Linked DNA regions of Nothobranchius furzeri. The protein of the gene in region 3 purifies or fractionates together with the protein of the main gene of each other region. This does not show direct contact. Links are inferred from orthologs where the notes say so. Each region holds a gene or a part of one and is shown on either strand. Other genes may lie near its edges. The genes, in order: cdca5, wapla, smc3, pds5b and usp13.

What was found.
Region 1: the proteins of smc3 (region 3) and cdca5 purify together in Homo sapiens (affinity purification with mass spectrometry; 7 studies listed by BioGRID and IntAct, counting the BioPlex papers as one, with this or other methods). This does not show direct contact. The link is inferred for Nothobranchius furzeri from reciprocal best matches to the Homo sapiens genes SMC3 and CDCA5.
Region 2: the proteins of smc3 (region 3) and wapla purify together in Homo sapiens (affinity purification with mass spectrometry; 7 studies listed by BioGRID and IntAct, with this or other methods). This does not show direct contact. The link is inferred for Nothobranchius furzeri from reciprocal best matches to the Homo sapiens genes SMC3 and WAPL.
Region 4: the proteins of smc3 (region 3) and pds5b purify together in Homo sapiens (co-immunoprecipitation; 7 studies listed by BioGRID and IntAct, with this or other methods). This does not show direct contact. The link is inferred for Nothobranchius furzeri from reciprocal best matches to the Homo sapiens genes SMC3 and PDS5B.
Region 5: the proteins of smc3 (region 3) and usp13 purify together in Homo sapiens (affinity purification with mass spectrometry; 4 studies listed by BioGRID and IntAct, with this or other methods). This does not show direct contact. The link is inferred for Nothobranchius furzeri from reciprocal best matches to the Homo sapiens genes SMC3 and USP13.

Annotation. Positions count from the first base shown.
Region 1 is NC_091759.1:26,795,530-26,801,306, reverse strand, and holds cdca5 (sororin), read left to right. Parts: upstream 1-2,438; coding exon 2,439-3,191; 3' UTR 3,192-3,633; downstream 3,634-5,777. UniProt on the Homo sapiens protein: Regulator of sister chromatid cohesion in mitosis stabilizing cohesin complex association with chromatin. May antagonize the action of WAPL which stimulates cohesin dissociation from chromatin.
Region 2 is NC_091752.1:29,593,922-29,600,289, forward strand, and holds the end of wapla (wings apart-like protein homolog), read left to right. Parts: coding exon 1-40; intron 41-433; coding exon 434-609; intron 610-738; coding exon 739-854; intron 855-933; coding exon 934-1,149; intron 1,150-1,518; coding exon 1,519-1,720; intron 1,721-2,062; coding exon 2,063-2,151; intron 2,152-2,270; coding exon 2,271-2,366; intron 2,367-5,427; coding exon 5,428-5,493; 3' UTR 5,494-5,689; downstream 5,690-6,368. UniProt on the Homo sapiens protein: Regulator of sister chromatid cohesion in mitosis which negatively regulates cohesin association with chromatin. Involved in both sister chromatid cohesion during interphase and sister-chromatid resolution during early stages of mitosis.
Region 3 is NC_091744.1:4,678,126-4,684,493, reverse strand, and holds part of smc3 (structural maintenance of chromosomes protein 3), read left to right. Parts: intron 1-1,099; coding exon 1,100-1,221; intron 1,222-1,525; coding exon 1,526-1,739; intron 1,740-1,943; coding exon 1,944-2,047; intron 2,048-3,469; coding exon 3,470-3,569; intron 3,570-4,378; coding exon 4,379-4,539; intron 4,540-6,368. UniProt on the Homo sapiens protein: Central component of cohesin, a complex required for chromosome cohesion during the cell cycle. The cohesin complex may form a large proteinaceous ring within which sister chromatids can be trapped.
Region 4 is NC_091750.1:62,005,490-62,012,585, reverse strand, and holds the start of pds5b (sister chromatid cohesion protein PDS5 homolog B), read left to right. Parts: upstream 1-3,060; 5' UTR 3,061-3,168; intron 3,169-7,096. Other genes in the region: zar1l (protein ZAR1-like), read right to left, coding at 959-1,525. UniProt on the Homo sapiens protein: Regulator of sister chromatid cohesion in mitosis which may stabilize cohesin complex association with chromatin. May couple sister chromatid cohesion during mitosis to DNA replication.
Region 5 is NC_091748.1:59,218,727-59,225,094, reverse strand, and holds part of usp13 (ubiquitin carboxyl-terminal hydrolase 13), read left to right. Parts: intron 1-468; coding exon 469-594; intron 595-1,485; coding exon 1,486-1,639; intron 1,640-3,847; coding exon 3,848-4,022; intron 4,023-4,118; coding exon 4,119-4,207; intron 4,208-4,859; coding exon 4,860-4,982; intron 4,983-6,368. UniProt on the Homo sapiens protein: Deubiquitinase that mediates deubiquitination of target proteins such as BECN1, MITF, SKP2 and USP10 and is involved in various processes such as autophagy, endoplasmic reticulum-associated degradation (ERAD), cell cycle progression or DNA damage response.

The DNA.
Region 1 (5,777 bases), on a different chromosome or scaffold from region 3:
ATCCTTGTGTCAGGAGATCGTTTTGGGCCGTTCCTGTAAAAAAAGTGAGGCGCGAAGCGGAAAAGCGTCTGCCGTCCACAATTCCACAACAGATTATGAAAGAACGCAGGGTTCCCCCAGCGCTTTAGAAGCCCGGCGGCCCGCCAGGCTAAGCGTCAGGCCCCGCCCCTACCGTGTCCGCTGACACGAACGGCGCAACACAACTAAAGCCCTCCATCAGCTGATACTGGTAAGAAACAGCAGCGGAACGTTGCTTTTTATCACACGGCGTTATAAATCCAGCGGGGCGAACTCTGCCAGTGTCGGCCAATGAGGAAGACGGGGACAGATGTGATGTGTTTACTATGGATGGACACTTCACCATGGAGGACGTGTGGTACTGTCCACTGTAGATGATTATTTACAATATTACTGCTCCAACGTTAGATGACGTGTTAACATTAGTTTCTTTAGTGCGAGCGTCACTGTTGAGTGATACCTTGTGTGAACCCGGTGTGAGAGCAGCGGCTGAACCGTGACACCACCACCAGCAGGATCCGGACTTCTTAAAGTGTAAAGTGAAACGACGTTTTAAACAGTTATGAAGCCAGCTAGGTGAGTTTCGGCAAAGTCTGCACCTTGTTTCCACCGGCTAACGGCCGCAGACGGAACTTCAGCTAACGTCTGTAAGCGGTTAACACGGAGCTTTAGTAAAGGCCACTCTCGCTGAGCCCCACCCAGGTGCGCCACTTCTTCTGTAACCAAACTGGGCTTGGACCAGTAGAAGGAACGCTAAATGTGGCAACAAACAACTACAATGAAACACAATTTCAGGCTCCACATTTCCCCTTGTTTAGTACTCGTGTCGCTCACTGTTCACGTGCTTTTGCAGACCAATATGGTCGACTCACGTGATTAGGTGGCGTTGGTGCAAAGGGTCAATAGAAAACAAGTAAATGTTACACCGTTGGTCGGCTAAAACAGGTCATCAACAACAAGTCCCAATCCAACAGGATTTACTGCTGAAAACATGTCACACAAAGTTTTCAGCTTCCTCCTACTAGCGCAGCGCTGGGCAACATGCCGTTTCTAAAACATGGACAGAAACCTGGTTCAACAGCCAGCGGTTTAGCCGACTCATCGCTGGAGTCAAGAAAAACCGGGATTTTCACCCCAGCGGTAAAAATCGTACTTTTACAGATTATTATAATTACAGTTGTTTAAAGCGGTGGTGCAGAATACCAACCCTGCTCCGGAGATAATCTGCAAGGTTCTTCCGTGTGAAGTTTGCTGCTGCTGTTGGACTGAGTTCATAACCTAAAACCAGGAAACAAGCATCAGTAATTGTTGGTGACAAACGGTGAAACTAAGGAAGAGCGCCACAACCACATCATACCATTTCTCATCTTGTACAGCTGAACGTTCTTCTGGATGTACTCCGCGAACTGCACCGTGTCTCCGGCCTCTCCGACACACAGCAGCAGGATCTTTTCACTCAGCTTGAACATTTTGTCATAATCTGAGACACCAAAGAACAAAACTCAGTGTGAAAGTCATCCTCTGAAAAAAGCCAGATGTCAGCACCAGTCGCCCCAAAAACAGAAACCAGGTCCGGATTCAGGCGAGTGATGAGAAAACATCACTTTGAAAAAGAACCAGGAGGTTGGACTGAAGCATCCCTTCAGATCAGATTCATTTACATCTAACTTTAAACAACGATCAGTAACACATGTGCACTGTTTTAGATCAGAACCAGTTTGATTTGGTTTCTGTTGAACACAACCGGACTTTCACTTTCACCGCCGGGGTCGCTCACCACGAGATTTAGCAGGCTAGAATAAAGCATATAAACATCCTAAAGCTCAGAACTAAACTCAGAAGCTAAGTTTGATTTCTAAAAGGCTCATCGTACCTCTCATTGGCCGGTAATGGCTTTATTGTCTTACTTTTTAATCTCCTTTGGCAAATAAAATGTGACAAATGGTCATTAATGCGTTAGAATGAAACAGCAAATCCTAAAATATAAAGACTTATACGCAGACACGCGTCTGACAAACAGAAACAGAATCAAATGAGAGAAGAGCTAATGCTAAGCTAGGTAGCTAACACACCGTGTTTCATCTGAATGATGCTGCTGGCGGCCACATTATCGGCTGCGACGAGAACGAAATCCGGTCCCTGTATACCGATTAAATATTCCATCGTCTCCAACCGAACCAACACGGAATAACGGTGAAAATCAGGTGAGACAGCAGTCAAGTATGAGCGTCAAGCGTCCGGATTACACAGCAAAAACTTTGCTCTTCCACTGGCGCGGCTTGTTAGAGTCACGATGATGTTGTCGTCATCACCGTGCGACTCGAGCGGGTAATTTCGAAAGTGGCGCCGTTGTTTGAGCAACCGGAGGAGATTCAATCGAAACCGAGTGAATAATTCGCTGTTAGTGGGCAGATTTCAGCATGGACGAAGGCTCGCCTCATGGGGCGATGGCGGGAGCTAACGGTCCTCTCGGGCCGCAGCGAAGACGCTCGCCGCGGTTCAGTTCTCCGCAAGCTCCGCTGGGAGGTGAGAAGATGGCGCTGGGAATTAAACGCTCCATCACCGTGCGGAAAATAGCGCCCAGAAAAACGAGCGCTTCGTCTAAACACAACAAGGAGAACACGCCGAGGCACTCCGAGCAGGTACAGCAGCTGAAGACCAAAGTCTCAACCCCCGATCCCGGCCCGGACCGCAGGGCCTCCTCCTCCGCCGCGAGGAAGAAGCAGCAGGCGCCCATGCCCTCACGGATCCTCCCGTCCTCCCCACCGGACTCCTGTCGGACCCAGCAGCCGGCTGCTGAACCAGAGGCCGGCGTGTGTGCGCAGAAAGCCCGCCGGTCCTATAGCAGGCTCAGCGACAGTTCCCTCCACAGTAGCCCCGACTCCAGAGAAACGTTATTCGGCTTCGAGAGGCTGAGGACCCCGGAGGTTGTCCGGAAGTCCAAGCAGACCAGGGACGCTCTGGAAGTTTCTGGACCCATCACGTCTTTCACTGAATCGACCGACGAGGGCTTTGCTGAACCGGACCCGAACATCCCCGGAGTGTCGGTGTCAAAGGAGCGGAGGAGGAGGCGGAAGGTGCCGCAGATTGACTCGGCCGAGCTGGACCATCTGGCCGCTCAGATGAACGCGGAGTTCCGGGAGGCCGAGGAGTTCGAGTTGGTGGTGGAGTAGAACCGAACCCACCAGAACCAGCGTATGGATCTTTGACTGGAGGGGTGGTGGGGGTGTAAATACGTCCGGGACTCTTGATGGATTGTATATGTAGCTCGTGAAGGTTTTTTTCTCTACACCATCATGGTTCGGTCCATTTGGACTTCCTGTGTCGGCTCTGTAGCTTGAGAGTTCTGGATAAATCAAAACGGACTTTGTTCTGGTTAAGCGGTTCTGATCAGATCCCAGACCGGTTCTGATGCAGTATTCTTTACTGAATAAACCAGAGAAACAACACGAGCCCAGTAGAACCGAACCAGAACCAGAACGTCTCTGCTGACAGAGTTGAACTGACTTCAGGTTAAAGCTGCTTTTCTGGCTTTGTGGAGTTTTTTGTTGGACTTTTCCAGGTTTTCCTGTCAGTTTTCCTTTCTGCTTCCTAATAAACCCACACTGAAGCAAGCACCCTGCCTGTTGACCTGTTCACACGTCACTTCAGATTAGAGTTAATCTGGGCTACAGTTAACCTGGGTTATAGTTAATCTGGGCTACAGTTAACCTGGGTTATAGTTAGTCTGGGCTACAGTTAACCTGGGTTATAGTTAGTCTGGGCTACAGTTAACCTGGGTTATAGTTAGTCTGGGCTACAGTTAACCTGGGTTATAGTTAATCTGGGCTACAGTTAGTCTGGGTTAGTGTTAAACACAAACAACAACATTGACCATGATCACACATTTACTGTGTTTAAAACCAAACTTCAGACCAGAACACACGATTGGTCACACACTCCATGACATCAGCACTTTACCTGACAGCATTAATTTAAATATAAACAACCCTGGTACTGATGAAAGGGTGAATGTAGATAACACATTTACTGTAATTCACATCATTGTGTCTCTCAGTGAACACCTGGTCCGTTCAGAGGACTTAATCCAGCGCTTTACTATGAATGAATGAATTTAGGTAGAAACCAACAGCTGACCTCGGTTAACAGAGGCTGAAGCTAAAGACAAGATTCAAACCCTAAAACACCGTGTGTGTGTGATATGGACAGCAATTACATCAGACAAACCAGATGCATGGTTTCAGTGTGTTAGCATGAATGCTAATTTGCAGCACTTGTCCACAGACACCTTTTGTAAAAGGTAGAACACATTTAAATAATCAAATCAAAGAAAAACAATTAAAATTACAAACATTTTCTAAAAATAAAAGGCTACTTAAAGAGCAAGTCACCCCCAAATCAACTTTTTTTGCTGATAAACTAAATAAACGAGTGTCTAATCGTGCTGCAGACACGTGTCGTCAATAATTTGGCACTTCAGTGCATCTTAGTTAAAATTTAAATATTCTACCTAAAACTGGCAGTGTTGTGCCATCGTCAGGTAAAAACTGCACTGCATTTGAATTTAAATCTGCCACCGCTATTGGCTAAGAGGTATGCTATGATGTAAACTGGTACATTATGATGTCACAATGCCATTGTGAGCCTGAGTGTGTGTGTATTTGTTGGCGGCTCCACCCTCTCGGTCTGCTAGGCAACAGCATGTGTTGCATTTTTCAAACATGAAGTGGGAGTGAAGTAAGTTTCTTGTGGGGGGGTGACTTGCTCTTTAAACAGCAGATTAAACGAGTTTAAAACTATTCATGTGGACATTGTTCTTTAGACTTTAGCCTTTTTTTGAGTCCTTTGTTAGAAACATACTCTCAGCGGGTAGGGAGTTTAGTTTTAGCTCAGCGGGTAGGGAGTTTAGTTTTAGCTCAGCGGGTAGGGAGTTTAGTTTTAGCTCAGCGGGTAGGGAGTTTAGTTTTAGCTCAGCGGGTAGGGAGTTTAGTGTTAGCTCAGCGGGTAGGGAGTTTAGTTTTAGCTCAGCGGGTAGGGAGTTTAGTTTTAGCTCAGCGGGTAGGGAGTTTAGTTTTAGCTCAGCGGGTAGGGAGTTTAGTTTTAGCTCAGCGGGTAGGGAGTTTAGTTTTAGCTCAGCGGGTAGGGAGTTTAGTTTTAGCTCAGCGGGTAGGGAGTTTAGTGTTAGCTCAGCGGGTAGGGAGTTTAGTGTTAGCTCAGCGGGTAGGGAGTTTAGTTTTAGCTCAGCGGGTAGGGAGTTTAGTTTTAGCTCAGCGGGTAGGTAGTTTAGTTTTAGCTCAGCGGGTAGGGAGTTTAGTTTTAGCTCAGCGGGTAGGGAGTTTAGTTTTAGCTCAGCGGGTAGGGAGTTTAGTTTTAGCTGAGCGGGTAGGGAGTTTAGTTTTAGCTCAGTGGGTAGGGAGTTTAGTTTTAGCTGAGCGGGTAGGGAGTTTAGTTTTAGCTGAGCGGGTAGGGAGTTTAGTTTTAGCTGAGCGGGTAGGGAGTTTAGTTTTAGCTCAGCGGGTAGGGAGTTTAGTGTTAGCTGAGCGGGTAGGGAGTTTAGTTTTAGCTCAGCGGGTAGGGAGTTTAGTTTTAGCTCAGCGGGTAGGGAGTTTAGTTTTAGCTCAGCGGGTAGGGAGTTTAGTTTTAGCTCAGCGGGTAGGGAGTTTAGTTTTAGCTCAGCGGGTAGGGAGTTTAGTTTTAGCTCAGCGGGTAGGGAGTTTAGTTTTAGCTCAGCGGGTAGGGAGTTTAGTTTTAGCTGAGCT
Region 2 (6,368 bases), on a different chromosome or scaffold from region 3:
TTGCATACAAAGACTCTCAACTTATCATCTCCTCTGCCAGGTAAACCCCAATTACAACGCTGTGTTTGGATGTTGTTGTAACCTTTAGACTCAAACCTGGTTTAATTTGAGGCATTTTTTGGATTTTGTTGCAAGTTTAGTGGAAAATTATGGATTCTAAATGCAATAAAACAGTTTTATTTTTTTTAAAGGTCATACATCATTTGATTTCTGCGTTCTGGTGATGTTACTGGAAGTTTCATTGCAGCTAAACTGACTTAAAAGTTAACTTTTTATCTACACACAGTAGCAGTTGGAGAAAATAATCCATGTAGTCTTTTTGGGTCTCCTTGACTTCTCTTTTTTTTTTCTCTCTCTCTCTCACACCGTTATCTTTTATGTTTTATTTTGCTTTTTTACGATCTCATAAAAACCTTTGGTTTCCTGTCACCAGAGCTTTGCGGTACTGTGAGGATATGATCCAGCGGTACAGCAGGGCGTTAAACAACAGCTCCGTGTCATCGGCGGCTGCAACGCTGCCACACTGTAGCTTCAGCAACGTGGGAAAGGCTGTGGAAGACTGTATGAGGGCTGTCATCGGGGTGCTGCTCAACCTCACCCACGACAACGGTGTCTTTTTAAAATTTAAAATCACAAACATTTATTCCATTTTTATTTTCTGCTTCTGGTTGTTGTCGGAATTTCTTTGCATTGTCGAGATTCAGGGTGAACCGTTGTGATCATATTTGTTGCCCACAGAGTGGGGAAGCACCAAAACAGGTGAGCAGGAGCAGCTAACAGCCACCGCTCTCAACTGCGTCCTTCGAGTCCCACGCTACATCCCCCAGGAGCAGCGCTTTGACGTGCGAGTATTGGTGAGGTTCACTTTAGAAAAACAATCCAGCATGAACACAATCTTCTACTAATCCACTACTTTACTGTTGTTTACATCAGGGTTTGGGGCTTCTGATTAACCTCGTGGAGTACAGCTCCAGAAACCGCCACTGTCTGGTGGAGATGGAGTACATCGTGGATGACGCTTGTTTGGAAGACAGCCTGATGCAATCTGCTGAGCTAACACAATCTGAGGAAGCGACACAGCCAGCCGAGGCCCAGGGAGATGGTGCTGACACGCCCAAGTCTTCTGGAGTTTTGGCTGCCCTGGTGAAGGTACAACATATTCCTTCTAGTTGTCCCTGAAGGAGGGGAGATTTCATGCTGTCAGGACTAAAGTGGCCGGTTGTGATCAGTGCCTGCACGGGTTAAATAAGCTGTTTTTTGTCAGGGAGGCTCTCCGTTTTAAACTCCTTCATACTATTAAAAAACAAAACAAGATTCAGTAAATTCACAAGGATGTAGTCATGTTCTTCTAGCTGCCTGAATACTGAGCAGGAAGGTCTGCTTGTTTTTGTTGAATTGATTTTTAAATGAATAATTTAAAGATTAAATTATGAAAATCACTTATGTTGAAATATGAAGCTCCAGCTGTGGTTCCTTTCCAGAGATCACAGCTGTTGTTGCCTTTTCCCTAAATCGTAGCTCTTCCTTGAGAGGGAACGTGCTGCCATCCTGGCCGAGGCGAAGACGGACGACCTCATCAGTGAGGCTCCCAAGCCGGCCCTGGACCAAAGTGGAGAGTGGCAGGAGACGTCCGGAGAGATCCAGTGGGTGGTGTCTGAGACCAACGACAGCCAACCTGAAAATAAAGAAGAGGAGGATGAAGAGTTGGACCTAAATAAAGGTGTGTGTGTGTGTGTGTGTGTGTGTGTGTGTGTGTGTGTGTGTGTGTGTGTGTGTGTGTGTGTGTGTGTGTGTGTGTGTGTGTGTGTGAGAGAGAGAGGCTGTTTTTTGTTAGTTTGTCACCAATGCACTTAAACATGGATTATTGTCTCTGCTACATTTTCTCTCTATTTAGAGATGAAGAGTAAATCACAGTAATTCGAATTGACGTCGACTAAACTACAGGATATTATCGAGTTGTTAAAAACCGTTATTAGGACGTTGACATTTGGCATCAGATTTTATTAGATTTTTAGATAATTGTAATAGAGAATGAATTATTTTCCCCTTGTGTTGTCTGTAGCTCTGCAGCACGCAGGCAAGCATATGGAGGACAGCATCGTGGCCTCCTACACCGCTCTGTTACTAGGCTGCATTTGTCAGGGCAGCCAGGTGAGTTACACACACACACACACACACACACACACACACACACACACACACACACACGCACTACAAAAAGATATTATCTTCTCTTTAACAATATTTGTTTTTGCCTTTTTCCTTCTCAGGACAACGTGACTACTGTGAGAGAGCACCTACCTAAAGGGGATTTCTCCATCATGACAGAAATGCTGAAGAAGTTTTTGAGTTTCATGAACCTCACTGTGAGTATGATCAGCAAGGTTGTACAATAAAGTTGTCCAGTGTTTGAATTATGTCTGCTTCTGAAAACAAAAATATTTTTGAAGCCATGCTCCTCTAGTTCCATAGTTTGTTTTTGTTCTTATTTACACAGAGTAGCAAAGATTACTGGTTTTTACTTTGTTGACAGTTTCAGCGCCACACAGTCGCCATCATCAGAGTTTAGTGACATTGTGCCCCACTGCCCGCAGATAAACAGCCGAGTTAATGCCACCAACCCCTGCAAAGCTCTGATGGTGGCGACTGAGTGATGCCGAAACTGTCAGCACAACACAATACAAACACAATAGTAAATGCACTATTGTGGATATCTCGGATACATATCAGGATACCACAGATCAGCGCTACGCCCTCTGTTGTCCTGTCGGGGAATTGCTTTGCAACACTCCCCAGGAGATGGAGAAGTCTCTGTGCATCTCCTCGTGGAGCTGACGCAGAAGCATAAACTAGGGTTTAGACCCGCTCACATGTATTTTAGACCCGACTTTTATGGTTACATGTTACGAAGCCGCCAATATTTATCAACTGGGCATCATTAAATTTTCAACAGCATTTCGATGGAAATTTCCACAGATAAATGGTAAAAACTACACATTGTAACTTTAATATCTTATTACCGTATTTTCATGACGCACCGTGTTATAGGGCGCAACTTCAGTTACTGGTGTCTTTTTGGTATTTAACACATACATAAGGCGCACCGGGTTACAGGGCGCGGGCATGGGCACGGTAAAACGTACCGGTAAAACATTTGTGCGGGCTCGGGACTCGGAACATATCAGTGCAAACCAGACATTGTGAAAATTATAAACAGCCAAAAGCATGCTTCACTTTACTGGTCTAGTCCTGCCTGGTTCAGACCTGGTTTAGAGCGCACGTGCACTTCCTCATTGCGTGCGCTGACGGCTCGTGCTCTTCTAATGGGCTCGACACACGGGAGGTAACTTCGCCTCCCCTCCATTCATTTTCAATGAGACATGCGCGACAAAGCGATAATCGCGGGTCTCTCTCCTACTAAAGCCGGGCGTACACCAGGAGTGCTGCAGGAGGACACACAGGGATTTATGGGGGTTGGATGAGGAAAACGAAATAAAAAAAGTAAATCTGTGTTTTGTGATCAGTTTAATTTGACATGAACATGACAAACACGCTTTCTTGACAATCTTTGTGAGAAAAAAAACGTGTAGACATAAAAGCGAACAGCGTGTGTTATTAGGGAAATAGCGGGCGAACGGTGTTGATGCAGGATTGCGCATGCGCCGTGAGCGGTTCTGGTACTTTTGGGTCGCAGCCGCTCGCAGCGCCGCTTCAAGCGCTGATGCGCTGTGTTGAAGTTCAGAATGTGTTTACCGGTAGTTGGTGGATTTACCACATAAACTTTCCACATGAACAAAATCAAAGGTGTGTTATTAATAGGCCTAAGAAAATAGTGTGATTTGAATTGTGTTTTATTAACCCTCTGGGGTCCACATCTTTTGAACAGGTCTGATTTGGGACGCTGTAGCAGCAAGACTCCGCCCCCTTAGTTTCGGTTTCAATTCAGCTTTAAAAAGGAGATAATAACTACACCCCAGTTTTTAAATGTTGTTAATAGGCAACGTAAAAGCGGAGTTGTGGGCTCGACACACGGGAGGCGATCCGCGGCAGCGCGCATGTCTCACTGAAAATGAATGGAGGAGAAGCGATGTCGCCTTCCGTGTGTCGAGCCCATTATACTAAACTAAAAAACGACCTATTTTTAGACAATCTGATAACTTGTCAAAACAGTAGTTTAGTAATCCATGAGAGGGAATGTGCTTGTGAACATAAAAAACCCACAAAAACATGAGATCCTTTTGCTGTTGGTGGAAGTCTCACATATTAAATTGATAAAAAGTATCATCATGTAGCTGAGAGAGAGAGGAAGGCTGCACGAGTAACGAGATGTGCGCAAAAAGGAGCCGCTTGGCGGGGAAAGGAGTGGGGCGACCCGAGTAACAACAAACATTTAGACAGATATTGATGGTAAACTTCATATTTTGGAGCGATCCGGACAGATACATTGTCTCTGCAGTTTAGTAGGCTTTTATTAGGCTTTAATAAAGGATGATGAGAAGGATAAATGTCCACCAGGCAGTTCAGATAGTACGGCTGTTTTTTGAACTGGAAGCAGAGGAAGTGGACGGACTCACAGCCGGAGTCTGAGGCAAACAGCGAGGATGTTGATGACGATGTGGCAAATCCACAGGTCTGTCTTCGCTCGCGTCCGCACGTTCACGCCACGCCCCTTGTCTTCTACTAAGTTCGCGTATCACAACAACACAATAGGCACACCGCACCATAGGGCGCGGCGTACATTTTGGAGAAAATTTAAGACTTTTAGGTGCGCCCTGTGGTCGTGAAAATACGGTAGCTTCTTTAGCCTCCCCAAACTGCTTCTTGTGGCTTTTATAGTTGAAGTGAAAGTCTCATTAGTCATCGTCACACGGATGAAATTACCACTCAACATTTGACCCGTCCTCATGGGGAGCGGTGCGCTGCAGATGTGGCTGGAACTATTTGGTGGTGTTACCCCCCAATCCAGCCCCTTAAAGCTGAGCATCATGCAGGGAGGCGTTGTCCCATTTTTATGTCTTTGGTATGACCCCACCGGGTTTTGAACCCCGATCTCCCATTCCCATGGCGGACACTTCACCACTAGGCCACTGAAAAGGTTTGAATGATTTTAATAGAAGTGTGATCAATAACTTTGTCATCCAATGGTTACAGTTTGTGTGTTCAAACTTTGTAATTCAGGAAAAATCGCTAATTGGAAGGATTAATGTTGAGCACTTTTGCAGTCATAGATGTGCTTTTAGCAGCAGCTTTAAATAGGATTCGCCCCGTCACGTCCGATGACTGGACCCTTCTGCGTCATAAAAATCGTCTTTGAACAGAAGCTTAAAATTCTTTACGGCCTGTTGCTGGAGATCCCAGCAGCACAGATGTACATATTATCTCTCACACTCTCCTCCCTGTGTTTCCCTCTTGTTCCTCCACATGCAGTGTGCAATGGGCACCACAGGACAGAAGTCCATCTCACGGGTCATTGAATACCTGGAGCACTGTTAACACACAGTGAACCACGGCGAACTCTGCACATTTAAAGGGATCCCAGCCTGCCCTGGTCGCCCCCGCCCCCACAAACAGCAGCAACAAGGGGCCATGGGAGTTGCACTTCCTCGTCTTCGCATGATCACACAAACCTGTGATCACTCACTGATACACACACACACACACACACACACACACACACGCACACACACACGCGCACACACACACGCACACACACGCTTCAGTCTCTTTCTGGAGCACAGCCTGAACCAAAGCCCTGCTAACTGACAGACGTGTACATTTCCTCACTTTTATTCAACCAACATTAAGTCTGAATCAGATTCACCCTCAGACAGGAATTGTGTGCAAAAGCTAGGCTAAATAATCCCGCAAGCTTCTCGGGAATCCAAGGAACGTCGAGTGTATTGGCCTCAAAGCAGCGAGGGAGAGAAAAGGGCCACAGAAGAGGAGACTCCTGCTCCCTGTCAGGTGGTGATTTCTGGCCGTGTAGTTGGAGTGTGAGGCTTTGAATCAGATTTTATGGATCATTACATTTTATTCTCTGCCTATCTACGTCCAAGCCAAGGGTGAAATAATTGATCAGCAGGGAAATCAATCATTTTCATGTCTGTATGGAGGTCGGCGTGGGACGATGTTGAATGCAGACATTTATTCGTGTTCTCAGATAGACTGAATGTTTAAGGGAAAGGAGATTTTAAGCTTTGGTTTTTGTGCCCAAGAGTGTTTTTAGATTCAGTTTATTACGTTTTTAGGTTTTTCCCTAAATCCTTTTAAAAACGACTGCTGTTAAAGGAGTCGGGACAGCTCGACCATCTTCCGATTGATGAACAGCTTAAAAAATTCTCATGATTTCTGCTTCCTCGTCACCCATA
Region 3 (6,368 bases):
ACAGACGGGCTTCAACTTTTGGATCAATTTTATACAAACTGTTTTATTAATTATCTTCTGTTGAAAGATAACTTTGAGGCACATGAGCGACTGGTATTGGTTGCTGTCACCTGTTGTGATCGGTTAAAGCAGTTCTCTGCTGTCAGAGGGTAGGCCCCGCCCACAACGCTGCGGCTCCCAGTGTTTTCTTTACTGTGGGAAATGGGTAATAATGTCTCTTTGATGGGGAAAGGTTGCCGACCCCTGGTTTAGACGTTGCTGCTTGATAAAAAGTGTCTGTGTATCTTTTTCAGTCAAAAAGTGAGAATCCCCGTGTGATGACTTAGGATGTAAAATGAATCATCTCCATCAGCTTCACCGTCCATCCTTCTTGGCTTCTGTTTTTATGTACTCAGTTGGCTGAGCTCGGTGTCCATATGGCCTTGTGTTTAATGTCTGTGAGCACGTGTGAGTACAAAGACCATAATCAAAGGTTTTCTTGGCTCAGTCTGTGTATGAACTATGTTGGGTCACAGGCAGCCTGCTGGCTGGTGGTTGGATTAAGCCCACCTGGCCATGGCTGACCCAACACTCGCCAAAAGGCGCCAGGGCAAAAGGAAAGGCCGCTCTAGTTGTATGTTTGATCAACTTTGAAGTGGTTGATCCAGGAAAGGGGAAAAAATATATTTTTACTGGAGCAGGGTCGGTGTGGATGATATGGAAAATAATTATTTGTGTGTGTGCATGTGTGTGTGTGTGTGTGTGTGTGTGTGTGTGTGTGTGCGCGTGCACTTCTCCAAGCACAAATAATGCCCTTACTATAAAACATGCTCCTTTTTGCAGATAGGTGCACTTTCTTTCATGATTTTCTTGCAAAAACTAAATTAATCTAAATAAAATGTAGTTTTTCTTTGCTGGTCCATCAGTTATTTACCATCTATAAGCTCTCATTGACTCATTTCAAATGTTATTGGATGTGGAGGGAAGAGCAGTCTGCGGTGAGCGGGGCATTATGAGTGTATTCTAGTGATGCAGACAGCTTACACTTTACTAACTTGGCACATTACGCATCTTCTGTTTTGTTGGCCAAACATTTGCTAAAGCTCTCCTGTTCTTTCAGAAACGACTGCTGAAGGAGCGTCAGAAACTGCTGGAGAAAATTGAGGAGAAGCAAAAAGAGTTGCAGGAGACTGAACCCAAATTCAACATGGTGAAGGAAAAGGAGGAGCGCGGCATCTCCAGGTAGGGATGAGTCATTCTTATCTACACGGCACACTTGATGAGTCAGTCATCACACTGGAGCATCAGATTTGACTAATCTTCTGCAAAGTGTCCTGTTTTCATGTTTTAAATGCAAGTAATGCGATTTTTGTTTTAAGTGTTTTCACTTCAAAAGCTCAAACACAAGAATGTTCTTGTTTATTCATGTGTATAGTTCCATATCATACAGAATTAATTAGCTTAACTCTCAAGGATAAATATCCTGATTGGGAAGGATTGTTGCTGTCAAATGTCTATGAACAGCTTTGGATGTGGTTCTTCTCAGACTGGCTCAAGCTACACAAGAGAGGACCGACCTGTATGCTAAGCAGGGTCGTGGCAGTCAGTTCACCTCCAAGGAGGAGAGGGACAAGTGGATCAAGAAGGAGCTGAAGTCTCTGGACCAGGCCATCAATGACAAAAAAAGGCAGATCGCAGCCATCCACAAAGACCTGGAGGACACGGAGATGAACAAGGAGAAGAACCTTGAGCAGTACAATGTAAGACGACTCGACTGTTCCTGGATCATTTTGGTTCTAAAACACTAAACCAATCACCCTTTGTCCTACTTGTGCCTTTTAATCAGCTTCATGTAGCTTAAACAGACACCAAGATTGTTCATTTGTATTGATTCAAAATGCTAAAATATTCTCTAGTTTTTCTGGTTCAACTTTGTCTGACCCACTTTTTACTTGTGACTTCAGAAACTTGATCAAGATCTGAATGAGGTCAAAACCCGCGTCGAGGAGCTGGACAAAAAATATTACGAAGTGAAGAACAAAAAAGATGAACTCCAAAGCGAAAGAAAGTAAGTCACCTCATATTTACCTTAACGTCAGATTTTATAAATAACCGTCGTTGACTCGGTGTATGAGGCAGTTCCTGTCTACCTGAATTTCTCCTGTAAACCCGTGACTGAGAGTTTAAGAGCACATTTAAAGGGATATTCAACCCAAAAGTAAAATGTTGTCTGACATACTTAATACACAAGGGCATACATTTTTTCCTCAATTTACAAATAGGGTTGGGCATCGTTTGATTTTGAACGATTCCAATTCCAATTCCCCGTTTCGATTCCGGTTCCTATCGATTCCCGATTCCGATTCTTTCAAGACATTCCATGTTTTACATGAGCCAGCTAACCACAGGTCCTACTTGATGAAATAATCTTAACTTCAACATGAGTTTTAATTCTATGAACAATAACATCACCTTCATTTAGACAGAAACGTGTTTTGGAGGGAAGAAAAAGACTTGCAGCACAACCAGTGTGTTTGTTTCTGACCACAACCAAAGTCTGGAAGAAGCGTCTGGGATGAGAGGCTAAATGTCTCCAACGTGTCCAGGAACATCCAGCTGTTTTCCTACCTGCAGCAGCATTCAGTCAGAACAGAAAGTGAAACTTAAATGTAGCTGCTGTCAGTAACAATCTAACAGATTTTAAACATTAAAACGCAACAGAAATAGTTCAGAAAGGAAATAAATTTTTTTATTTATTATTATTATAATTATTTATTGTGGCAGAAGCTGGTGTGGTCCACCACAGAGAAGCTGCTCTAGCATGATGACTTATTCTACTGGTTATTGTTCAGCCTTCTGACGCTCACACACACACGCACACACACACACACACGAGTGTTGGTGAGCGGCTGCGTCTGACTGCTGACGCTCCGTGTGTGTTTTTATTTCTGCAGTGAGACAAACTCACCTCACACCGTCCAGAGTTTGTTCTTTAAAACTTCTATTAAATCCACCGTGTTGATGTATTTAACATGTTTCCTCTACGCTGCAGGAATTAAAGTTTACATTACGGAGTTAAAGTTCAGCAGATGCGTTTGTTTATATCTGGCCACTGGGTCGGGGGGGGGACTCGGTGCTGCACACAGACAGCTCGTGTGATCAGCTCTGCAAAGCGTTGATCACAATTTGCAGATCACGTTTATTTTTCACGGAGATCGGCCGCGGATTCCTCTTCCGTCTGCATTCTAGGAATAAACAAAAAACTTTGAACGATCCGGGAAAAATGAGCAGTTGGAACCTTGTGAGAATTTAGTCCTAAATTTAAAAATGAGAAACTTTTTTGTTAAAAGCATAATTTCCTTCTATCCTCTTTAAAAACCCATAAACATGACCCCCCAGGTTACAAGGAGTGAATATCAAGGCTCAACTCGGGCTTCTGCGCCTCTAGTGACATAAGCATAACAGGTTGCGACTGTCTGATTCTGTCCAGCTACCTGTGGCGTGAGGAGAACGCGGAGCAGCAGGCTTTGGCAGCCAAACGAGAGGACCTGGAAAAGAAGCAGCAGCTTCTTAGAGCGGCCACCGGCAAGGTCTGTGTCACTCTGCAGGACTGCGTGATTATCAACTTGCATAATGGAGCTACAGGATAACCAATACTTCCACCTGGGCAGCAGTGAGACATCTGCACTCCGAAAGCAAAGGAGCTTCCAGCTGATTGGACGCAATAACGAATGCATGGGACTTTACTTCATGCACAAATATCCCCTTTTTCATCGGGTGGAACTATCACATCAGGGTAGTTTTAGCATATAAAACTGAGTGTTTGAGTCCCAAGAGAAGAGCTTCGCTCTCCCTGCAAGCCCATCTGAATGCTGCAGACTCTTTGTGACTCACCCAGTTGTCAGAATAGGTAAATCAAATGGAATTCATCGGCCTCGCTACTTCCACCTTATGATAACTTGCTAAATTTACATATGACTCACTCCTTCCTGCCTCGTCAGGTCACTTCTTCTGGGCGCAGACATCAGTCATATATTGCCTTTGAATAACGTCTGCTGTGATGAAAACAGGCTGCTTGGACAAACGTGTGGTTGCTCTTCTCTTGTTGGTTCCATCTGATTCAGCCGATTTGCTGTTTGATGGACTCTATTTGCAGCTCATGGTTCATTTTAGTGCATCGTCGTATTGAGATTGACATTTCCTAATCTGATTTTGTTGTGATGTCACAATGGCTTCTTTTTAGATGTGCTTTGTGCTACTGGATGCTACTTTACTGTGGCTAACTTTAGCCGGATTCCTAGAAATGTGCTCTAATGGAATTAGGTTAATTGTTTTTATATTTTTCCCTTTAATATATATTTGGAATTTTTACCTTCTTTATTTCCCATCTCTAATGCAGGCTATTCTGAACGGTATTGACAGCATCAACAAAGTCCTGGAGCATTTTAGGCGGAAGGGGATTAACCAGCATGTCATCAACGGTTACCATGGCATCGTCATGAATAACTTTGAGTGTGAGCCTGCCTTTTACACGTGTGTGGAGGTGACCGCTGGAACTAGGTAAGAATCTGAACTTGGGAATGAATATCAACCCTGGAAATTAACAGTTATGCACATGAATATTTATTATGAATTTTTTCTTAATTGAGCGGCTAAAGGTTCATTAAATATTGTACCGCTTTATTTCTATAGCACATTAAAAAAAATAACAGCATGAGAGCTGACCAAAGTGTTGCACAGGTACATTCATTAAAAACAAACAGGACGGAGAAAACAATCCAAATAAAACCGTCAATAAAAGAGTCACTGGCCGAAGGCCAAGCCATTAAAGTAGGTCTTTAAACGAGGTGGAAACGCAGCCAGAGAGGGGGCCTGTCTAACTGTGATGGGTAGAGAATTCCAGAGCACATGAGCTGCAAACATAAATGCCCGTTCTCATTGTGACTTATAAGACATTTGGGGTTTGCAGAGTAGCAGGTCAGCACATCTCAAAGTGTGCACGGGTCACGTTAATGGTATCCGTCCATTCTTCCATTTTCATCCGCTTATCCGGAGTCCGGTCGCTGGGGCAGCAGCCTAAGTCGAGAGCCCCAGACTTCCCTCTCCCCAGCCACTTGGGCCAGACATAGTCCGTCCAACGTGTTAACGGAATATTTTTCATTTTTATCCGTATTTTTTTAAGGTGGTGACAGAAAACTCCAAGGGCCATGTGCTATTTTGACAGATCACAGTTCAGGTGAGACATGGGAAAAAATTCAGCAAGGCTACACAAGACTGAAAGCTCTGTGGCGTCACGCTCGCTAAAGCCTGGACCACACTGTGATTTTCGGCGGTCATGCAGGACTGCTCCTGGCGCGCTGTGAGAACTCTAGTGAGGCGGCACACTGAATGGCGTAAGATTTCAGTGAGACAAACTGCACGATGAGCTAACGTCACGAGCACCACCCCCAAAAAGTATGCGCCTCTAAAAACCGACAGCTAACCAAAACAGTAATGCTGAAAAAAGCGTTGCAGTTACACTTCTTTTATTAGACTCTGAACCAAACTCCAAAAAGGAGTGGTCCGCATGTTCCTGTCTGAATCTTCCATTGTTGCTAATGTTAACTCTACTTTCGTATTCTCGTCACTCGTTGTTCGTGTTTCTCCCTGGGTGTGTTTTCATTGGTCGATTGCAGACGGGAGTTTGAGATTTTCGCAGAGTCGGTCACACTGGACGGCCACAGACTTGCAAATCACTCTCCCGTTCGCCGTTTTTGTGTCAATTCTGTTCACGACGAGCGATTTGGCAAGGATGGCTGAAGACGCTGTGTGTTCCAGGCATTAAGCTGACATGAGACATTTTCAACTTGACGGACAGAGTTCATGATGGCAGTAATTAAATGAATCAGAAATCGTAGCATCATCACTGATCTGGACACGTCCAACTATCCGGGAGCCGAAGGTATGACGGGTGGACACCAAGTCCTGGAACGCGTCCGAGGTCACAGACCGGGGGAACTCCCAGTTTCACTTTCTGATGTTTAAACTTTGGCTGAAGTGGAATCTTTGTTTTGCTTGTTTGGACTGAATATTATTGAGATGAATAAAATGCTACTGAATATTTCACTTTCAATAATCTTCCAAATTCAGGTGACGTGTAAAATAATAGATTATGATAGAATTATTTTAATCAAAATGACGAGCAAGGAAAAGTCCTCTGCTCCACGGTAAGAAATGACGAGAGTAGTAACTTGTATCGTGTTACAAATGTTTTATAAAGCACAAATAGTTTCTGTTTAGAGCCTAGGATTCACGAGTAGGGCTGGACAATAATTCAATAACGATCAATAGACATGTGGTTCAAAAGAGAAAAATGGATCAATAAAAACTTCAATAAAAGTTTCCTTTTT
Region 4 (7,096 bases), on a different chromosome or scaffold from region 3:
CGACTCCCATTCATGTATGTAGGGAGCCTAAAGCCTGGGGCACACCGAAGTTGGACGCGCCACGCCGCGCCCGAGATTTAGCGAAGTCAAGTTATTTCCTGATCTTGTTTTAAATGCACCATGGAATTCACATATGATGTTTGTACATTTTAAAGACAAATTGATGCCAAGAAAGCATTTATTTTTCGATTAGCGACTAAAGGTACTTTGCGTTTTAAGATAGGACTTCAAATGTTCGTCTCACCAAATTAACAGCAAACCAGACACGGAGAAGAGTAGAAGAATATTTTGTGAGCTTTGAAGTCTTCTTCCAGAAATGAAGGAGCATTAAACATGAAGAAAACCACTAAATCTGCCCATGTGGTAACAGCTATGCTGAGGGAATAAAGATTTTGCGGTGACACACAATATCTAATTTGTTGTCTTACTAATTAACTAAATTACTAAAAGTCTTACTAAGCTTGTTTATCACAATTTGTGTGACAGACATTGCTGAAATCATTATATTCCATTTAAATTTAAGTATAAAATGTGTGATTCAGGGTGTAAGGCAAAGCAGATTAGAAAATAATTTTTATACATTCCCTTCCATTACATTTTTCTTTGTTCCGAGGACCCATGGACCAACTGGAGAGGTGGGGGACTTGAGCTCCTGATGGTCTGTCTAGATTTCTAGGCTAGGGTTATGCTCTTATTGTAAAGTGCCTAAATGCTTCAGTGTTTAATAGTTAACTCATCCACTTACAAACATAATACAACGGGGTTCAGGTAAAGCGTTAATGATTGAGGAAGGCCGGAGCAAATTCAGTAAGGAGTGCTAACAAAGTGAACCAAAGTTTCGACATTGAAGCTACTATCAGAGTTGATTATTGAAAGCGATTATAGCCCACTTGGCAATACAATGTTTTTATTTTTTACAGTGTATTCCTAACACGCCCTGTATCAGAGACCGACTCACCTGGAAGTTGGAGTCCTTGTTGGAGCGGTGGAAAGTGGTCTTCTGGTCCCTTTCAAAGTCCTCGCCACTGTGATCCGTTTCTGCTTCAGACTGGTCTTGCTCTGAAGCTTCAGCCTCTTCTTTTTCACAGTCGTCGCTGAGACTTTTCATGAAAGCCCTGCGGTCGAACACCGGCGAATAGATGGACACGGGTCTCCGGAAGCGCAGGTTGCTCACCGGCGGCGTGTGGGGCTTCGTCTTTTCCTCCGGTTTGACCTGACCAGGACTCTCGAGGTGCTCGTCGACCAGCAGCGTTTTGGGACCCAAGGAACACTGGACTATTTTATCCACTTTGGCGTTCACCTGCACGCCGCACTCTTTGGTGTTTTCCTTTCTGGCTGGGGGAGGAGGGTGTGCGCCGGGACTGACTTGGGACAGGATGGTCTTGCAGAGCTCCAGGTAGCTGAGGCCCGGAGGGATCATGAAGCGGCCCTCTCTCTTCCCCCAGCTGCTGCCCTGAGCCGGGGGAGCGCACACCGGGTTCCCATAGGCGTTATAGGGCGGAAACGTGTGCAGGAACCCCTCCATCCTAGAGCCAAGAAACCGATCCAAGCACCTCCTTTTAGAATTTATGCAGTTACCATCAAGCCACTTTAATTGGTTAATTGACACCCAGGTGTGCAGGTTCTAATTAAACACACAAAATACATAATTTAGTAATTATTTAACAATAATTTCAGATATATTTTTTTAAATTATATGTCTCTGATGTTCATTGGTAACCTTTAAACTTTTTGCAGCTTTTACAAAATCTGTGTAATTCTGACATAAGTAATTAAAAATTTTCAAAAGGATGTAGGTTCATACATTCATTTTCTGAACCCGCTTGCCCTTGTGGGGTCGCCGGGGGAGGGGGTGGGAATCTCCAGCGGGCAATCGGCAATCAGGCGGGGTACACCCTGGACAGAGAGCCAGTCCATCGCAGGGCAACACAGAGACACATAGGGCAAACAATCATGCACACACACACACACTCACACCTGGGGCAATTTAGACAGACCAATTAACCTAACAGTCATGTTTTTGGACTGTGGGAGGAAGCCGGAGTACCCGGAGAGAACCCACGCGTGCACATGGAGAACATTCAAACTCCATGCAGAAAGATCCCAGGCCGGGAAGCGAACCCAGGACATTCTCGCTGCAAGGCAACAGCTCTAACCACTGCGCAGCCTCGATTTAGGCTCAAATGTCTGTAAATCAGAAACGTTGTATTGGAGCGCCCCCTATAGTTCACACTGTCCATAAAACTATGAAAAAGACAAAACCATCTGTAAAACACCTTCCATTTGACACAATGAAAATATGTTGGAAAATGAATCTCTGTAGAATATTCTAAATTAATTTTTATTAAATTAAAATCAATAACAAAACATATGTTTATTATAATAGAAGTAGCCAATAAACTTATGAAAAGGAAAACAAATGTTACAGGATGCATAAAGGGTTATTTTTAAAATGTGATTTTAGAAAATAACCAGTAGCAACATATATATTGCACCAATGAAAACATGTGTTTGTTTTCCGAAGCTATATTTATTCAAAAGAATAATAATAAAAAACTTTGGTTCAACTAAATGATAAACAACCCGCACTTATAGCGCCTCTCACAGTAAGGACTTCAAAGCGCTTTACACTACAGTTCATCCATTCACACACTGGTGGGGATGAGCAACAATGTAGCCACAGCTGCCCTGGGGCGCACTGACAGAGGCGAGGCAAACTACTATGGTTTATTAGTGTATTTATACACAATCTTTTGTGCAATTTTAGGTTTTCGCTCATCTTTGCGCTCCTGAAAAATAAACAGATTGATGAAAAATATAATAAACTATTGAACATTTTAGGAAACTATGTATTCTTATTTAAATAATGTGCAGTTGCTTTTATTCAATAAAATATTTCATCATTTTTACACACCCAAACACTAAACAAGGTAAGGTTTGAGTTGTTTATAAAACCATTCATAAACAGTTTTATTTTACAAAAATCTGAATTCAAACATGATGTAAGCAGAACGACTTGCGTGGACTCGTCTATAGGTGGCGCTGCTCACTCACGGATGGGTTGTACCCATGGGCTCTGAATCTATGCATGTTGGCGCCATTTTGGAGCTAGGAGGGGAAAGAGAGCTGCAGAGGAGGACACGATTTATCACTATTCATCGGTAACAGGTAAGAAAAGGCACCAACAAGCACACCCGTTGTTTTAAACTGGCAGGATCTCCTATCGCTCCTGCGAATAAATCGGTATGTGTTGGGATTTTCCCGTAGAGACGTTTGGTTCCAAACGGTTAAAAAGGCGGAGCGCAGCCCGCCTCGGTCGCTTGTGTTCTCGGCTGCTTTGCTCGATCCACCGCGCTGCTCAACCTGGTTCTGCGGCGCAAAAACGCGGTTGACCAGTACAATATAAGCTCGTTGGTTAGGCTCGGTGACTCTAGTGGAATGAACAGGCAGTGACGAGACTTGTGGTGTGGCTCGGCTCGGGGTTGTAGGAACCATGTAACGGTTGTTATCCGGGCTGTTTTGTTCCATGCAACGTTGCCATCTGTCCGCCCTCTGTCACTGAGATTGCTGCTGCTAATGCTACCTTGAGCATGCTAACCCCGGCTAGCTGAGTTAGCCACCGTCAGTCAAGCATTATACTGACCGTACTTCTTTAAATGCTGCGGTGGTGAATCAGTATTCTCCATTCATTCATAATGTTCGCTTGTCTATTCGTAACCTGTCGCTCACAAATAACCTTAAATTAGGCTAAATCTCATGTTAGCATCATTTTTAGATATGACGATGCTGACGATGTAGTACGGTGCATTTTTGTCTTTTCTAGTTAAACTGGCGTCCTAAATGGTTGTTGGACAGCGTGATGTTTATCCTTTAGTAATCGTGAAAGCGATTCACTTTCTGCATGTTCGGTTTATCTCAATTTAAAGCTGGTTTTGCTCACGCTTACTTTTTAGTGATCTGACCCGATATGGATTGTTATTGAGTTGTGTGGTGATGCTTGGAGAAATCACCACGAAAAGATGACATTAGTAATCAAATTAGTGCATTATAATATACTAAAAGTCGCTTACAGCTTTGTGTGTTTTTGACTGCTAATCATCAACGTTATAGGTTTGTCAGTGATTCACGGGAGGGAAAACACTCTGTGGGTAATGGGATAATACGGCCATGACACATTATTTTGATTACATAAAAACCACCGTAAACTAGAGTGAGTATACAGATCTACTGCAAAGAGAATGTCATGTTTTTTTATGTGTAACTTACACCATTTGATTTGCTATTAGATGTTGTCAAATACCATATAACCACAGCTTCAAAAAATGTTTTGGAGGCAATTTTTTATTTAGAGCTGCCTATTTATCCTTACTTTACATTCTGAATGGGGAAAAAAGTGCAATTACTGCCACTATTTCCTATTTGTCTGTTGTGATCTGACTGTGTTGAATGCACAATTCTGTCAGTCCACTTATATGTAGATGAAGCACAGTAACAGTGCTTATGTGCTACTCTACAATTAAATAAAATGTAACTACAAGATGTGAGGAGTCATTTTGCTATAGCTGTTATTGGTCTTGCATGTTTTCCACGTGTCTCCATCTATTTTTAATAACAGTATATATATATATATGCGTGTGTGTATAGGTTTTTTTTAATTAAGCATTCAGTGATTCAGTAGAGTTGTAGGTTAATTCTATTTTATTTATGGCCACATGATCACATGTGTATAAACGTGGGACTGATGTTAACCTTTCCTCTCTGGCTCGTGGTTGTTTAGGACAGCCTTCACATGTTTAGATTGGGGGGTTGCACCTTCTTGAAAATAAACCTTGAAAATAATTTCAGCTTGGTTTGATTTCAAGAAAATACAATCTCTTTAACAGTGCTAGCTAGTTTTCTTTCGTGTTGAGAGTGCCCAAACAGAGGTCGTTAAGTTCACCCTTGCAGCCAGCTGGTGTCCACTCTTCCTTCTTGTTGTTGGCTCTTACCCACTCCCCAAAGATCATCCCTGGAGTTCGAACCGAAGGGCGGATCTGTCGTTGTTCAGATTAGGAACTGAGAATTTCTTTGGATCTTCAAAGTTGTGCTTGAAGCTGTGTTTAAAGGACCAGAATTGGCAGAGCAGAAGCAGTGGGATAGAAACCCTCCACAGGGAGGTAAATGTGTTTAACTGTGATAAACCAGTAATGAGCTCAAAGCAGCCCATGGACAAGCTGTAGTGTGGGGTAGAGCTAGCCCCCTTGTTATTATTTACTACTGCTTTTGTGGAATGTTGCCTGATGGATGGTAACACACACATGAGTTTGGGAAATAGCCTGCCATGATTGGCTGATCGCTCTCCTTGTGTCAGTGTCGTACAGCGATGGAGGGACGGCCTCAAATTTGGCAGCAGCTGTGGGGTGGAAAAGAAGGTCAGAACCAAACGATCTGGCAACCTGCCAATGTTGAGTGTGTTTGTTCTTTGTGTTTGTGTGTTTGCTGCAGCTTGAACGATGCTACAGAAAACTGTCATGATGCGTGAATACATTTATAATGCAGGCTTTAAATTTGACAACTCATTTCTTCTTAAGTAGATAAATAAACATTAAACAAAGTGAAAACACAGTCTGACCTGTACAGTGCCTAAATTCAGGTTTGTTTTCAGTGTTAAATCATTTGTAGTGGTCTTTGTACCAGACAAAAGGGAGAACAGTTAGCAAGAACAAAGGCTGAACAATTTATTGCAGCAACAATTATGTTGTCTTTTCAGAAAACAGTTTTTGATAGTTTGTGGTCATGTGATGGATTCTCGTGTGTGTGTGTGTGTGTGTGTGTGTTTATCACAGACTGGTGATTATTATTTTATATATGTACTACTGATATGATTGCTGGGGGTAAACTATTATTTTTAAAACTATTATTCTGACGATTATTTTATCGAATAGTCGACTATTCTAATGACTATTTAGACAATTAATCTAATGATTATTTTTCTATTGCACAGTTAATAAAAACCAAAAAATCTAATAAATTCCTCAAAAAACTGATAAATTGTTACTGTAAGAGAATAAACACTACAGGCCTTCCATTTTGTATAACACTGCTTTTATTGTGTTGGTTGGTTATGTTCTGGTGATGTGTAGAACTTGGGAGTGCAGGCTGCTGCCTGAGAGGTGGTTGGAGACAGAGTGTCTCTATGCTGCTTTGTTTTGGTCACTTATGTGCGTGAAGTGAGTGGTGTTACAACCCTTCCTGGGGAGTTTGGCTTGTGTGCAAAAATGAAGGGAAAATAACACGGGATTTAAAAGTTAAAATGATGATCAGGTTTATTTACAACTACAAAAAAAAATCTTTCCATCCACAGGTTGGGAGTAATAAAACTAATTCTGCCTGTGGGGAATTAAAACAAAAGTACAAATAAGTTGGGATGTCCCACTGGGCAAAGACTACAGGGTTCTAGACCAAAATAAGGATCTCCAAAGGTCCAAACTCTAAACTGGGCAGTTAAACCAAACTCAAGGTGATATTTTAAACTAAACCGAAACCCCACAACACTCTAAATGTAATAAAAGGAAGATCTATGCCACAAAAAGATTAACTCTAAACCAAAACGTAACAGCTTATCTAAATGCGAGAAGCTATTAGTGAAAATGCTAACAGTAGCTTTACCAACGTTAAGTTCAAGTTACCAAGTTTAAATAAACCAAAAATACCTACCAAACAGACCAGCACGGAGGAGAGACTGCTACCACAAAAACAGCTCTCCTAATGTCTGAAAGAAGCTCCTTTATGAAGGGAGGAACGCTCCCGGTGATTTTCTACATCTACGATAGAGACGAAGCAGCGCATCTGAACCCTGAAGTTGTTGTCCTTTGCCGGGAGATGAAGGCAGGCAAAACAGGAAAGGAATCTAGTATCGGACGGACATTGTTCCGGGTCTTCGGTATTTGGTGGAGATGTTAGTGAAGGCGGAGAAGATGGTGAACTAAAGGAAAAACAGACAGATTAAACCTCTATTTACAAACTCCTGGGGATGCAACAAGTGGGCGTGGTGCATCGACTACCGGATCTGACATCGACAAATTTTTAGAATCGAGCCGTCCATGTTATCGAGGCT
Region 5 (6,368 bases), on a different chromosome or scaffold from region 3:
CTGCTTGTAGTTGGAGCCAGTTCCCTGTCCCTGTCGTTCTGTAAGCCTGGTAGGACTTCATTTATGCTGACTGACTCACAGTAGCTGATGGAGCAAAGCTGTGATCCTGAACATCCTCTATTTACCAGTGGACCCATGTTTGGACACGTTTAGTGAGTTAGAAGTAAAAGTTTCAGAATTTGTAGAATGCTTTCTGGATGGATGACATGAAGGGAATTCTATCCTCACGTCCCTGAAGACTGCTCGGCAACTTTTCCAAAGCAAAATGAAGTAAAGGTTGTAATTTTGAGTAAGAAAAAATACAATTGTTGTTTTTAGACTCTTCATCAAACAAAACCCTCAGCCCTCACAACCCCGTGTTTTTGCTGCAATCTCTGACCACCTCTGATAACTTTAACCGATGCTCTGTGGTTTTGTCCCAAACTTCCTTCTGAAAACACAAATTGTCCTTTATTTTTAACCCTGCAGCACCTGCAAAGGGGCATCTCTCCTCGAATGCTGAAGGCCCTGGTTAGCAGGGGACACCCAGAGTTTTCCTCCAACAGGCAACAAGATGCCCACGAGTTCCTGCTGCACCTCATCAACCAGGTGGAGGTGAGTGAAGCTCAGACTCTTGACAACATCAAACAATTGTTCATACACAGATCACTTCTTATTTATTAGAGCTTTAGTATTGCTAATATTTTGACATTTTGCTATGTCTAATTCATTTGAAACTCCTTTAGAATTGTAGTTGTAATACTTGTGCACCAAACCCACCTGCCTAACTCATTGCAGTCGCGACAATATTGAGTCTATATCCCCGGCATGGTGTGTTCCTCAGAACTCCAACACGATGATGCAAGTTTTTAAAAGGTTCTGGCTTTAATTAAACACGAGGCGCTGCCTCCTGGATTGGTTTGTACACATGAAGTTCTTTGAAACGTCTCTCTCCAGCCTGGATGCATTTATAATGTTCACAGCTATCTGTTGCACAGAGCAGCGAGAAAAGTGCTTCCTGTTCTACCTCGACCGCGGCACACACACACCAAGTAGAAACCTAATACTTCCTATTTTTCATATTGTGCACAGTAACACACACCTGAGATATTCTCACAGCTCTAGATGATCTAAACTGTCCCATTATCTGCAGATACACATGCATTTTTAACAACTGTTGTCCTTTTATCGCCCCTAGCAGCTGTCTGCTGATTTAATAGATGACCCGACTAAAACCATCACCGCTGGTCGCCCCTCGAGCTGGGCCTGAGGGAAATTATAACTTGTGTATTTCTGTAGCTTCTCAGAATAGAAGAGCTGCGTTGCAGAAAGGCAGAGGCTGACCAGGTTTTCATACACCCTAAAGCCTCGGTGACCCCCTTCCCTATATATAAGACGTGAAGACACAGAGTGACTCATGACGACGATTAATGTGTCTGTTTTATATAAAGTGTAACTTTCTTGGTATTGAGAGGTGAATTTAACTTTGAAGTGTTATTTCTGCAGAGGAACAGTGCCGGCTCAGAAAACCCCAGCGATGTTTTTCGTTTCCTGGTGGAGGAGCGAGTCCAGTGTTGTCAGACTCGCCGGGTTCGTTACACCCAGAGGGTTGATTACTGCATCCAGCTGCCAGCTCCCATCGAGGCAGCCACCAATAGAGGTACAGGAGTCCAGACGCTGGAGGCTAAGCTGCTGGTGATGAAGCCAGATATGTTTTTCTCCTTTTAGGGCACGACCTAATGTCAGAGGTGGAAAGAGTACTAACATTTCCTATTTAAGTACGAGTTCCAATACTTTGATCATTTTTTTTTACTCCAACACAAGTAAAAGTACTTGCCTTAATTTTTACTTAACTAAAAGTAAAAAGTATCGTAAATAAAATGTACTCAAAGTAAAAGTTACTTAGTTACGATATTGTCAGCATAAGGATGGCTACATCCAAGTAGTGCAAAACGAGAGCTCACAACACGCACGCACGCACGCATACACACACACACACGGAGGGATTTCAACATGCACATTGATTGGTTGAGGTTTTTCCAGGATTGTACGTTTCAGTTGTGATTTAAATTATTCTTTATTCAGACTAAAAATGTGATTATTTCAGATGCCATCAGTATGTGAAGCATCTGAGTGTTTTCATGACAAACCTCTAACATGAGACTGTGCTCTAACCTGTCACATTATCTAACAAGCCAAATGAACATCAAACATTTCAAATGAACCTCAACGATGGCCCTGCCCTACTTTACTTCTACATTACAGTTCCTTTATCCGTGTCCATCCTAGTGCTCCGCTCTGACCTTCATGCTTATTTAGAGCAGCTGATTTTTAGAGTTCATCCTTGGTAGTGGGTTCACGCACTCAATTAACCGTTTACCACTGAAATCAGTTTGTTCATTCTAATCTTCCTCAATAATCCTCCAATCATCCAAATGGAATCCTTAAGCGTCCCGTAACATCCATCCTGTCAGAATAGGCCTTGGATGCCCAGGTGTTACTAGAACTAACTGTCTCCTCGCCACACAGCGCGAGTCTCCAAACTGTGAAGGTTGGTCTCCAAACATGAACTTAAAATATTTATTCATGCATGTATCTCTTCTTGTAGCACACTTTTTTAAAACATGATTTAAAAGGCTTGTATCACAATACGTTACACCTCCCAGACCAAACACAATATATAATAAATTATTATCGTAGACGCTATTGAGACATCATTATTTATGAAATAAGTTATTTTTGTGAGCCATTACTTCAACCATGAAATAAGATGCCTGGATTTGATGAAAGCATGCTGTCTCATGCAGTCCTGTATGTGTAACACACACACACACACACGCACGCACGCACGCACGCACGCACACACACACACACACGCACACACACACACACACACACACACACACACACGCACGCACACACACACACACACACACACACACACACACACACACACACACACACACACACACACACAGAGGGATGGAGCATAATGTTTACAACTGAATTAGCTCCAGCTCCAGATGTTTTAACTCACTGAGGCCTGCAGGTCTTCTGCATTATGAGCAAAGGGCAGGGATAGAATCCGCTTGTTATGAGCACCGAACGTTATTTTGCCACTGCCGTGCGGAGCAATTGAGAGGGCACATTTCAAACATGGAACCGAGTCCAGCTAACGAACCGAGCAGAATACTGATGATGTGACATCGGCGCACAAAGGTGTGGGTTTCAACCCACAGGAGAGGGAGGGAGAGAGGAGGTAAACAGCGACTACATCACAGGGGCTGGACTGATGTTTTTAAACAAAACTGAGGGAGAAGTGGCTGTTTAACGTCTTCATTATAAAAGGTGTACACCCACACACCCATGGTTGAGACATGGCGCTCATGCAGGTGTCTCTCATTCTGTTGCTAGCCTATAATTTTTTTACTCAGTAACAGATATGATTGGAAATGTAGCTGAATGCAATTGTTTTAAAAAAACATACTCAAGTAAAAGATAAAGTACAGATTTTAAAAACGACTTATAAAGTATATATATATATATATATATATATATATATATATATATATATATACATGTGTGTATGTATGTACCGGTATATGTGTGTGTGTGTGTGTGTGTTTATGTATTATATATATATATATATATATATATATATATATATACACACACACACACACACACACAAAAAGATACTCAATTACAGAAAGTGAGTAAATGTAATTCATTACTTTCCATTTCTGCCTAAATGTATAATATTATATAAGTTATATTTAATGTTGCCATATTTTATTCAACATTTTAGAAGGTTTACTTCTCACACGCATGTTCATCTTTACATATCTAATGAGTTTTGTTTTGCCAGAGGAGCTGCTGACTTACGAAGCCAAGCGGAAAGAAGCAGAGGAGAACATGAGGGCTCCTCCAGAACCTGTGCGAGCACGCATTCCTTTCACGGCGTGTCTGCAGGCCTTCACGGAGCCGGAAAACGTCCCCGACTTCTGGAGCTCAGCGCTGCAGGCCAAGTCAGCTGGAGTCAAGTAAGCATCAGCGATCGTTAGTTTCTACTCTCCCTACCTTTGTTGCGTTGATGAGCTTTATTTCTAATCGGCTCTTTCAAAATGATCTCTCCACAGAACCTCTCGATTTGCCTCGTTCCCAGAGTATCTGATTGTGCAGATCAAGAAGTTCACCTTTGGTGTTGACTGGGTTCCGAAGAAGCTGGGTAATTTTTTTGTTTGATACAAGAGTGATTTTAAGTGTCTGTAGCACTGATAACATCCAGCAGAGGGTGCCATCAAACTGCATCACTGGTGGCATAGGAACACTTTCTGCCCAAGAAAATGAGAAAAAGGATCCCCTGCTGTTTAGACACATCTGTCATCCCGTTCATGTCTGTCAACACCGGTGAAGGTTGATGCCGACATAATCCCACCCAAAGAAAGTTTCTGAAAGTTCCCTGCTTCCATAATTTCTAACATCTGGATGTAATGCGGGGAGCAAATTTCACACACACCAGTGTGTGTGACAACTAATGGGACTTTAACTTTACCAGTGAATCTCCAAAATTTAGAATGTGGTGCAAATATGAATTAATTTCAGTAATTCAACTTAAAATGTGAAACTAATGAGATAGACTCATCACATGCAAAGTATGAAATCCCCAAAATTTTAAATCCCAGACAATTAGAATATCGTGAAAAGGTTCAATATTCTAGACTCAAAGTGTCACACTCTAATCAGCAAATGAATCCAGAACACCTGCTAAGGGTTCCTGAGCCTTTAGATGGTCTCTCAGTCTAAGTTGAATTACTGGGATAAATGGACTTTTGCACCATATTAGTATTTTTTGAGCGTCTCCTGTATCTGTGGTGCAGACTTGGCCATCGACGTTCCAGACTTCCTGGATCTAAGTCGGCTCCGAGCCACAGGGCTGCAGTCGGGAGAGGAGGAGTTGCCTGACCTTTTGCCTCCCATCGTGTTGCCTGAGGACACCAGAGGTACGATGCTGACCTCCATCAGGAATAATTTAATATAGGAATGTGTGTGAGAGTGAGCATGTGTCAGATCATGCCCTGTAAGTGAAGGAGACCAGTGAAGAATCACATTAGCTGCTACGCAACATTTTAGTATGCTAGTATAGCCAAAAAGAAAACTGATTTAGAAATGTGCTGCTGGTATCAAATCTATCAAAATCAGAATATATATTGTTATATATATATATATTTTTTTTTAGTGTATCCATAGTGTCGTCTTGGTGTTTTTAAGTATCTAAATATGAAAATATATCTATCTGTGTTCATTTGCATTTTAAACTTTAGTTTTTTTTTCTGAATCCTATTTCGGGAATCTCCCATTAATGTCCAGCTGTGGCTCACAGCAGCACAACAGCTCATGCATGAACTCAGAAGAAAATATAAAATTGCACTTTTAATTACTTGAGGCATTTTAGTCCGCTCATCTTTAATGTCACAGTTCTGTTATCTTTGTTACAGGGCAGCGTTTTCCTTCAGCTCCTGTTCTTTGGTCGTACATACTCTTGATTTTTGTACCAATTATTCATGCTTTTATACTTTATTGTGCTTGGATTGATACAAGCAGATGGCCTGTGCGTCTTTTATAATTTCATTTCCTCAAACTCCATCTGTTGGAAACTTCCACTACACCAGCTTATCCATGTTGTCTTAATATTTTAACAGATGTGGAGCTCAAAGTGTTCTGAGGGAACATCTGAGAGCAGCATTTGCTGCTTCAGACATCAACAAACGAGAGATATTTAAAAAAAAGTGATTTAGGCAGCTGCAGTTATGTGTTAGAGATTCAAAGTACAAGAAGAGAAATTTGGACTTACTTTGTTTGAGTGGGTCTTAATATTTCAGGACAGAGTTGTAGCTGCTGACCTCTCAGACTCACTGAATTATCTTTTGGGTGTCTGGTTTAGAAATTGGAGCCTCTTTAGTTTTGTTTTGTTTTGCAGCTTTCCTGGAGGGCCACTGTAGAAGACAGTCCACGATCATACATTTAGTAAAAGTAGTTTGTATCAGGCTTCCTTTGAGTGGACAAGAAATCAGAGTAAAAAAAAAAACAGTTTTTCAATATTTTTGTTGATATTTCTTGTGTATTTTGTTTGTTACCAAAGACCCGCCATGCGTTAGCAGGGATGAATCATTGCTTACCAGTCTGTCAGAGGGCATCGGTGCTTCTCATTGGTTACATCGCCAACATACCTATATGTTCGATTATCAATCATCCGTCTGTTTATCTTCTATTTGCTCACACATTCTGGGCTGTTTGAAGAAAAAATGTTTTTTTTTCAGCTTTCTTTACTCCAGAGTTAAATCTGAAAAAAAAGTTAAACCAGCTTTATCTAACCTCATTAATTATTG